Arabidopsis thaliana: one gene and its partner. The protein of the gene in region 1 interacts with the protein of each later gene in a pairwise test. Each region holds a gene or a part of one and is shown on either strand. Other genes may lie near its edges. The genes, in order: AT1G26300 and AT2G27580.

Region 1 (6,395 bases):
AAAGAGAAATTGACAATGGTGTCATTTTTGTGGAAATGACAGGAGAAGGAGATACAGGAGGAAAACAGCATGCTTACCAAACAGGTGATCATTGTTTTTTGCATTTCTAACTGTTTCACTATTTACAATTCCACTGTTGAACTCCACTTCAATCTCTACCTTAAGCTACCATCTCTCCACTTTCGGCACCAACTCTTTTGAGTAAAAAGAATTGATATGTAGTTTCTTTTGATTGGTATAATCATGAGCCTAGCTGCACGTATAGGTAAGCTTTGTCCGTTTAGTATTAAGGTTGTCTCCCAGATTTGAACTTGAACTTGAACTGTCTTCTCATAATCATAGTCTATGTGTAAATTACACATACATTAGCTAGATAGCTAGGAGCTCTATTTAAGTTTTATTGAGAAGTAAGAAAACGTACGATGAAACTACTTGATTAAAGAACATATATTAAATGAAAAAATATCACAATAGTAAGACCTTGACGACGCTAAAATTCGCTTAACATTTTGCAGATTTAATTATTACTTTGCATTTTGTTTGAAAATATCATATTACAAAAAAAAGTATAAGAATAAAAAATTGAAGTTCCTTGAATAAATGCAAATAGCTGATTAGTTGCAAATGGGAATCTATATAAAGATGATGCTTATATCATTTTCTTGGCGTGTGTAATCGGTATAGATAAAGGAGAGGGAAAACATCCTAAGGACAAAACAAACCCAATGTGAGCAGCTGAACCGCAGCGTCGACGATGTACCACAGCCACAACCATTTCAACACCCCCATCTTTACATGATCGCTCATCAGACTTCTCCTTTCCTAAATATGGGGTAACGGCAGTATTTCTTGTTTTTTTAAGTTCTTTTTTCTTACCATAATGTCAAATTCTCATATATAGTGAAGTGTTCAGTCAGTCATATAGGCAATGATAGTGAATGCACTTCATATATAGGGTTTGTGTTAGGTATGGCGTTAGAGGTTGATGGTATGCATGCATATTATTGTATTATGATTTTAATTTGCTATATATGATTGTAATTTCAGTGGTTTGTACCAAGAAGAAGACCAAACGGCGATGAGGAGGAACAATCTGGATCTGACTCTTGAACCCATTTACAATTACCTTGGCTGTTACGCCGCTTGAATAGACTACATCGATCTATATCAATCTCTTTAAAATAATATAAGATCGATCCTCTACTCATGATCTATATTAAACACCGGTTAATTAATATATTTTTGGTATGTCCTTATATCATATCAACATGATCAAGCCTTTTTCCAATTCAATATATCTTGTATTTCGGGGAGCAATGAATAAATGTAATATTTGGGGACTGAGAGAGCTAGAAAGAATTGTTGTTCAAACCTTTTCTATATTGATCTCATCGTTACATTGTAATTTGATTTCTTTCACACAAAAAAAATATTTGTAATACGAATTTAGTCTTTGATGATTTGAACTTTACTTGGTCAAAGTAAATCACAGCCTTAGAAGGTAAATTTTGAATTGAAAATAGAAATAAAAATGTTGGGAACGTGACATTCGGTTTCTTCTCCATTTGCTTCATGTAGGTGCGTGATACGATCGGAAATGAGAATTATTGGGCCCTTGTGGGCTTCATAATTATTAGTTCATTGTTTAAGCCCATAATACTTGGCATTTTGCCAAAGAAGAAACTGTATAAAACAAATCGGAGAAGAAAAGAAAAATAGTAGTCGCAGCAATGGAGGATCTATGGAAGAGGGCAAAATCGTTCGCAGAAGAAGCGGGTAAGAAGTCTCAGACGATAACACAATCATCCTCCGCGACCTTCGTCAATCTCGTCACCGAGACTGCTAAGAAATCCAAGGAACTCGCTCTCGAAGCTTCGAAGAAAGCTGATCAATTCAATGCCGCCGATTTCGTTGCTGAAACGGCTAAGAAATCCAAAGAATTCGCTGCTGAAGCTTCAAAGAAGGCGGATCAGTTCAAAGTCGCCGCGCTGAAACAAGCTGATCAGATCCAGAACATCAAATCGATCGCTGATATAATCGGGACCGGGACCGGGTCAGGATCCGGTTCAGAAGCGGAGCTTCTCGAATTCGGTGTAACGGATGATTTGAGAGAGTTCGCTGAAGGCTTGACCTCTGCTACATTCCAAGCTTTTCCTGATCAAGGTATTTGTTGATTTTTGTTTCGATTTTGTTGGCTCTTCGTTTCGCTGAATGTGAGCTACTTGTATAGATCAAGGGGATGAAGTTTCCGATGTGATAACAAATGCTTCGAATGTTCGAAAGGATCTCTCGGATTGGCAAGAGAGACATGCCACTCTGGTTCTAACCTCTGTCAAGGTCAACTTTCAAATTCGAGATTTCATATGTTATATGACTTGTAGTGTCTACTCTAGGAATCTAGTTAGCTGATTTTGTATGCACATTGCACATTGTTGCAGCAAATCTCCAAGTTAAGATACGAACTTTGCCCTCGTTTCATGAAAGAAAGGAGGTTCTGGAGGATTTATTTCACACTAGTGAGCACTCATGTTTCTCCGTAAGTCTTTACCATCTCTTCTATAAATTTATGATTTTATAGAATAGCATTATTTTATCTCTTCTATATATTTATTTGATTCTTATTCTTAATCAGTTACCATGTCTTAATACACCGATAGCATTTCTTTGCTAAACTTTCTCCTAATCATATTATTGCTAATAAAAAAACTAATTGGATTTTAGGATTTGGTGTTATTTTGTTAGATGATAGTGTATGGTTGTAAAAGAAGATTTTGTTGTTACTCTTACAATCTCCATCGCACTATGTGATAAGCAAGCATAACTCTTATTTCATTCGTGTTTAAGTAGGATTTGCAGGAAGAAAAAGTGCAAACATAGATAGATACCAGCATATAGGCACAGATCCAGGCCAATCATTCTCTTTACCATTTCCATCTGAGCTCATGAGCCCTCGTTTGATTCTTCATCTTTTCTTTTCCTGTTTTATCTTCACCAACTGCTACAAACTTCTTTCTCTTGTCCGAATTCTCTGCCTTTTTCGTCTTTTCGTTGTCTACTTCCTTCTTCTTCTCTGTGATCTCAATCTTGGTATCTCCTTCCATCTTTATATTTATGTTCACCTCCAATACTCTCTTGCTCTTTCTCATTGAAACATCGAACAACTCCTCTCTTTCTCGTCTTTGTTCATAAAGTCGACGCAGCTTGAGTGCGAGATTGTAGATCCCGTCCTTGAATTCCCCTTCCAAATTTCTTTCGATTTCCATTTCTAGCTCATCGCGGATCCTCTCTTCGTCTTTAGACAATAAGAGTCTCCTCTCCGCCTACAATAATACTTATAAACAATGAGTAGCTGCTTTTCTTTCCATGATGAAGGTATAATGTACATATTTTTCTTACATTTTGTCGGCTATAGTCTTTGTGGTCCATGGCTCCACACTTCTCGCCTTGCGCATATATTTCTTTCCCACTAGATTAACAAATGGGGTTATAAAACAATATCGTTTTGACATTGACATATGTCTTGATGGAGTTCCTTGTGGGACTCAGTTATACAATAGTTGGTGGTCCAAATAAGGTTATAAAAAGTTCTTAATTGTATGGTTTTATGTGACCGTTAACAAAAGATCCTTGGAAACATTTACGCTCCAAATATATCTAATTGCGGATTCAGAAACTTTGTTGTGGTTGATTAAACTGAAACTGATGTCCTTTTTATATGTTGGTGAGAATAGTGCTTTACTTGTAAGGCTGCTATGGATTGCTTAAAAGTAGGATCTTTACGATCTGTGACTGAGATATTTAGAAGAAGATTGACATGTTTGTTTCCAAAGAAAAACAAAATTGATTGGATGTTGTCTCTAATTAATTTATTGTAAGTATACATAATATTTTTTATATAATTAGATATTATGTCCAATTAATATACATAAAATAATGAGTATTGTTTTTTTATATTGTAAATATACATAATATTAATATTAATTGCCAAAAAGCAAGTGTCAAAAATTTAATTATTTGTAAACCATATTGAACCTAGAACATCTCTTAGGGGTTTGGATATTGTATCCAATTAATTTACACAAAAATTTTAAAATTAACACTTATCAAAAAAACAAAAAAATTTAAGAAAAAAAACAAGTGTTAAAAATTTAATTATGTGTAAACCATATTGAACCTAAGACACCTCTTAGGAGCTTGGATGTTGTGTGTCCAATTAATTCACACAAAAATTAAAACTTAAAAGTGTTAAAAATTTAATTATGTGAAAATCATATTGAACTTTCTCTTAAGGGATTGGATAGTGTGTTCAATTAATTTACAAAAACTTAGAAACTTAACACTTATAAGTAAAAAACATTTTGGTTGCAAACTAAATTATTTGATTCTTATTCTTAATCAGTTACCATGTCTTAATACACCGATAGCATTTCTTTGCTAAATTTTCTCCTAATCATATTATTGCTAAGAAAAAAAACTAATTGGATTTTAGGATTTAATGTTATTTTGTAGATGATAGTGTATGGTTGTAAAAGAAGATTTTGTTGTTACTCTTACAATCTCCATCGCACTATGTGATAAGCAAGCGTAACTCACACTAGTGAGTTAGGATCGTAATTAAGGAATTGAGTAATGTGTGGACAAAGGGATTTGATAAAGAAGCCTGGTAATGCATTTAGGAGATCGTGAGATGAAAGAATGCCATTAGCTTAGACTTATATCTATAATGATGGTTTCAACAGTCCTTCATGTAGAGGATAGCAATTTGTTGATCCTTGCATCTCATCGATATGATATGTTATCTTGGTAGTTGGCTTGTTCTGAGGCATTCTTTTGTAATGACTTTATTCAGATATGAGAGGAAGTACATGGAGGAACTTAAGACCAAAGGAGAGCATGGAAATGAAGAAGCTAAGAAGGCTCCAGCGACTGGAGAGACAGAAACAGTAGAAAAGAATGTTGCAATCCGTAGAACATCTACTGCGTCTTCTGAGCAGGATCTGGATACATTCCTGTTGGGTGATCTAGAAGACAGTGATGAAGCTCCAGGTGAGAATTTCTCTTCTCTGCTCCCTACTTTTAACTGTGTTTAGGTTATCTTCCTCTTGTATCCACGTCACTAATTTTGTCATTATAAACGTATATCAAGTTGTTTGAATCAGCCAAGGCGTTGAATTTGGTTTTGTGTATACTGTGTCTCTAGCTCAGTTTAGCAGGATGTATAATCTATTAATTTGTGTTTAACCCCTTCCAGATGATGGTGATGGAAGCCTTGAGGATGACTTTGACAAGATTGGAAACTCAGTAAGCACCCTTTTACATTTCCGCCAAATGTAGACCTTGTTGTTCATGAATTCGGACTAAGGAACTTCCTATGCTGCGTGTTTACAGGATGTTGAAGACGAGAAGCAATCATCTAAAGCTACAACAAATGCAGGAAACGAAGTGTCTTGTTAGTTTTAAGTTCCAATTAGAAAAGGGTAAATGAAGAAGATGCTTGAAATGTATAGTTTTGATTTAGTAAGTGATGCATACGAAGACCTTGATTTCGCAATTCATATATGATTCATTTGTTTTGCCAAACAGTCCTCTGGTTCGTTTTGTACAGCACTGCTACCGATAAGTAGTCAATTACTTCAACTCTAAACTTCTCTAGTCTTTTGGGTTCACCCATCACAAATTCACAATGAAATCTATTCATGCTTTTCCGAATCTCGGTGCACTCTGAAATCTCCTAAGCAGTGCATTCATTATAGATTTATGAAGGAGTGTTGATGGCAACGTTGTCTCTGGCCTCAAACCACAATCTCAATTTTATTTCTTAGTTCCATATTTCGTAGATGCATTTTGAGTTTATACTTGTAACAATCGTTGGCGTTTGGTAAAACTTAAAAGGTAAACTCTAAACACAAGACAAACACTAGTTTCTTTCTCACCAAGCAACTCAATACAATAGTTTTAGTTGTAGACAATTCTTTTTGGTTCGGTGCTCTGTATGAGAAAGAACATCTAAACAATGGCCATGCGTGAGTAAAAAACAAGAGGCAGTCACAGCCAACGGATAGACCCGCCCATAGAGAGATAGTTTTGTCAGACGAAGAAACGACCAATTCTCGTTATCCCTCTAATATTATTATTCGTTTTTATATTGTTTAAATATATAGTAGGACAATGTATAAAGAACAAAAAGTGTATAAAAAGCGAAGACGGTCTACATCATTTCGGGAAAATATTCCACATGGTTTCATCACGAAACTAGGGGTACCTCTTACATTACATACGTGATACATTGCTGACACTTCATCAATAAAGACAATTTGTTTTGTCAAGTATTTCTTCATTATTTTATTTCCAAAGAAAAAAAATAAGAACCCCTTTTACTGTATTTTCTTCTTTTA
Region 2 (3,802 bases), on another chromosome or scaffold:
TTCTGTGCTTGGCCTTCTAAGTTTCATTGAGTGGTTCTTACTGGTTTTATGAAATCAGTTAAAAGTACTTAAATTTTCTTAGGGAGAGAGTTCTCTGTATCTCTTGTATAAAGAAGCACTAAGATTTAACAAATTGTATTGTTTGTGTTTCACTGTTCTTGTTCTATCATCAAGCACTAAGCTTTAACATTTGTTGTTCTTGTCTTTTCATTGCTTTTTGTTTGTTGCAGTCACCAAAAGGAGACATAAGTTACTTGCAGAAGTTCTTTTTAATGTATGTTGGTGGAAGACAACCTTTCCATTTCCAAGAAGATTTCTGCGGCACTGCTCTTTTAAGGTTGTTGTGTGTTTCACTAAATGGTACAAAATAATGTAGCTTTTGGTTTTCTTGCTTGAATAAGTTTTTACATTGATTGTTGGAATAGTGCGGAGTGGCTGAAGACTGACACTAGACGGACTGCTATAGGGCTTGATTTTGATCTTGAGGCGTTAGAATGGTGTATGGATAACAACATTAGTAAACTTGGTTCTGACGTGTATTCAAGAATGTCGCTTTTCCATGGGAATGTTTTAACTCCTCTTGAGGCTAAGCAAGTGAAATCTAAATCCCATGAGCTGATACAAAATATCAGCTTGGATGATGGTGATGATAATGAAGATTTGGCTGATCCGAGTGTTGTCGAATCTTTAGAGAAAGATGGACCTGATTCGTTGCCAAAGAGGGATATTGTGTGTGCTTTTAATTTTAGTTGTTGTTGTCTCCACAAACGCTCGGAGTTGGTTTCTTACTTCAAGAATGCACGTGACGCTTTGTCTAAGAAAGGTGGTATCTTCGTGATGGATTTATATGGAGGTGCTTCTGCTGAGGGACAGTTGAAGCTTCAACGGAAATTCCCTAATTTCACGGTAATAGTTCATTCTTGTACTTCATTCGGTAAAAAAGGGTGTCAGAGCCATAAATATCGAACTTACTAGAGATAACCGTACTAACGATTGTCCATATTCATTTGGCAGTATACATGGGAGCAGGCTGAGTTTGATATTTTAAGCCGCAAGACAAGGATCAGTCTGCACTATCACCTTCAGAAGCAGAACAGAAAGATTCGCCATGCTTTTTCATATAGCTGGAGACTGTAAGTGTCCTGTAGTCTACTTCCACATCCATTCTTTCTTCAAAGTGGGACAGTCATTACCCACAATCTCCCACAAGCCTTAAGAAAATATTACAGTTACAAAAAAACGAAGCATATTTGGTACTTAGGGGTTTGCTTAGCATTTTAGATAACTTGATAAGTGTAGGCTTTTGGTAATTTTGGTTGGCTGGGTGAGGTAGAGATTCTGTAGTGCAGCCACTATGGATCAAAACTTACACAAACATGTGCTCGAATGTTACTGATATCTAAATTCATATGTTAGTGACTTATCCTTGTGTTGGCTGGTAAGTAGCAGTGAAATGATATTGAATGTTATATTCGGGCAAGACAATATTCCTGCTTTCCTTATTGTCTGTAGATTTATTGTACTTGCACTCTTGAATCATTAAGTTCCTGAGAAGTAACTCCTGGATCTGCTGTTCATATATGTGTAGGTGGTCATTGCCGGAGATAAAGGATTGTATGGAGGAAGCTGGGTTTAGCTCAGTCCATTTCTGGCTCAGAGAAATGCCGGACGCTTCTGAAATGCGTAGAACAGATGGGTTTGGTGCTGGACGTGATATCAAGTACGAACAAGTCAAGAGCTTTCAACAGTGTGATTCTTGGAATGCTTACATTGTTGCGGTCAGCCTCTAGTTATGCTTTCTATCTTTTGATCAAAAGACACTAGCCCTTTAACTCAGATCCTTTGTCGATTTTACATCTAGTATTTATTTCTGACACGCACTGGTTTAGTTTCATGATTTCAATATTATTTTTTTGTCGTCTCATGATTTCAATTATCAAGCACAAAATTGTTAAAATGAATAGTGTAGGTGCTTCTGGAATCTTCAACGCTAGCCCAAAAGCCAAATAACACCATTTTCCACAAATTGTCCAATTTCCATCTTACGGCCAACAAAAAAAAGAGTAAAATAACAATTTAATTTTGTATCGATTGCGTCGTCGTTAGTTTTCCCATTTCCTCATAATTCTTCATCTCTTTCCTTTCTCATCTCTCGATTCCTTTCTTTCTTTCCATATTCCATTGATTTCTCTCTTCTTATAAAAATACAGATTCTCTCTTCTTAGAACCATCACCGATTCGAACAGATCTAATAAATCGTTTTTTTCACCAGGTAATGACTTGTTGTTTTCGCCGATCCATTAGTTTTTTCTTTCTGTTCTATAGTTTTGATGAGATTTAAGCAACAGATCTATTGATTTTTGATTCCATCGATCGGTTAATTTTGTAGATTTTTTTCGCCGGAGTTTGTTTTGATCCATTCTGTTATGGCGGAAGAACACAGACTTCAAGAACCACGATTATGTGCTAACAATTGTGGCTTCTTCGGAAGCACAGCTACACAAAATCTCTGTTCCAAATGTTTTCGAGATCTTCAACATCAAGAACAAAACTCTTCCACCGCCAAACATGCTCTTACCCAATCCTTAGCCGCCGTTGGCGCTGCTGCGTCTTCCTCCGTGTCGCCACCGCCTCCGCCTCCAGCTGATTCGAAAGAAATCGTTGAAGCGAAATCAGAGAAACGAGCGGCGGCTGAACCGGAGGAGGCGGATGGTCCGCCGCAAGATCCGAAGCGGTGTTTGACTTGTCGGCGGCGCGTGGGAATCACGGGGTTTCGGTGTAGGTGTGGTTTCGTTTTCTGCGGGACGCATAGGTACGCGGAGCAACATGAATGTTCGTTTGATTTCAAGCGGATGGGGAAGGATAAGATCGCTAAAGCGAATCCGATTGTGAAAGCTGATAAGCTTGAGAAGATTTGACTTTGTTGTTTGTTGTTTGTTGTTGTTGCTTTGGTTTTGTGCGTTTGAATGAAACACACATGAAGAAGAAAGAGCAAGAAACAAACATGTCAATGTAAATTTAAGCTTTATTTGATGATTTCTTCAGTTTGGTTATTAAATTTGCTTATTATTGATTTGATTGTTCCGTTTGATGATCTTGTAGAAGGCTTAAGTCGTATTATCAATGTGTAGAATTTGGATTTGGTTGATTGGTTCGTCATTACATTAGCCATTAGCCAATATGTAGAACAGAGAAAAGCATGACAACAACATAGGGTAGTCTTATTACAATGCATTGGAGAAAAGCACAAACTCAGAATTTCAAACCAGAATTTTGAAGTTTCTCTTGGATGATCATGTCGATTTTGTTCTCCATTTCAGGAGTCAAATAGTTCTTCCAATCACCGACTTCTCCTTTACGGAAAAATGTTTTGTTATCTCTACCTTCACATAATTTTCCGGTCTTATTGATCTCCAAACTGCTTAGATTACGTAGAGAGCAAAGATCTATAATCTCATCCACCAATCCGTTCTCTTCTTCTTCCTTAGTAAAGGAGAATCTAAGAACTCAGCAAGTCTCTTGATCTGCTCATGAGGTTCTGCTTTCATCTCCTCAAACCTCATGAAAAGGACATGATTTGGATCTTCCAAGCTTCTTCTCCAGTAGCTTAAGACTTGGTCCCAAAAAGGCCCAAAAAAGTTGACTCCCTTACAAAAAGACTCGAACGTTTCCTCGAAACTGGTTTTTACGTTATCATCATTAGAAAAGAAATGCCAATATTAAACCAATGTGTCTTTCATGTTCCTGCAAATATACACAACTTTACAAGTAGAATCTTTAAGCACTTCTTGCAGCGTATGAG

The links.
Region 2: the proteins of AT1G26300 (region 1) and AT2G27580 interact in a two-hybrid assay, tested with the Arabidopsis thaliana proteins (one large-scale study listed by BioGRID).

Annotation. Positions count from the first base shown.
Region 1 is NC_003070.9:9,095,082-9,101,476, reverse strand, and holds AT1G26300 (BSD domain-containing protein), read left to right. Parts: upstream 1-1,711; 5' UTR 1,712-1,730; coding exon 1,731-2,163; intron 2,164-2,230; coding exon 2,231-2,337; intron 2,338-2,438; coding exon 2,439-2,536; coding exon of another isoform or gene 2,537-2,540; exon of another isoform or gene 2,541-2,921; coding exon of another isoform or gene 2,922-3,320; exon of another isoform or gene 3,321-3,396; coding exon of another isoform or gene 3,397-3,426; exon of another isoform or gene 3,427-3,834; intron 3,835-4,849; coding exon 4,850-5,046; intron 5,047-5,251; coding exon 5,252-5,301; intron 5,302-5,388; coding exon 5,389-5,454; 3' UTR 5,455-5,709; downstream 5,710-6,395. Other genes in the region: CAL (K-box region and MADS-box transcription factor family protein), read left to right, coding at 43-84, 685-833, 1,048-1,147; AT1G26290 (uncharacterized protein), read right to left, coding at 2,922-3,320, 3,397-3,426.
Region 2 is NC_003071.7:11,775,756-11,779,557, reverse strand, and holds AT2G27580 (A20/AN1-like zinc finger family protein), read left to right. Parts: upstream 1-2,004; 5' UTR 2,005-2,272; intron 2,273-2,389; 5' UTR 2,390-2,426; coding exon 2,427-2,918; 3' UTR 2,919-3,148; downstream 3,149-3,802. Other genes in the region: AT2G27590 (S-adenosyl-L-methionine-dependent methyltransferases superfamily protein), read left to right, coding at 231-337, 426-906, 1,015-1,133, 1,589-1,790; AT2G27570 (P-loop containing nucleoside triphosphate hydrolases superfamily protein), read right to left, coding at 3,253-3,418, 3,463-3,671, 3,726-3,802. UniProt on the Arabidopsis thaliana protein: May be involved in environmental stress response.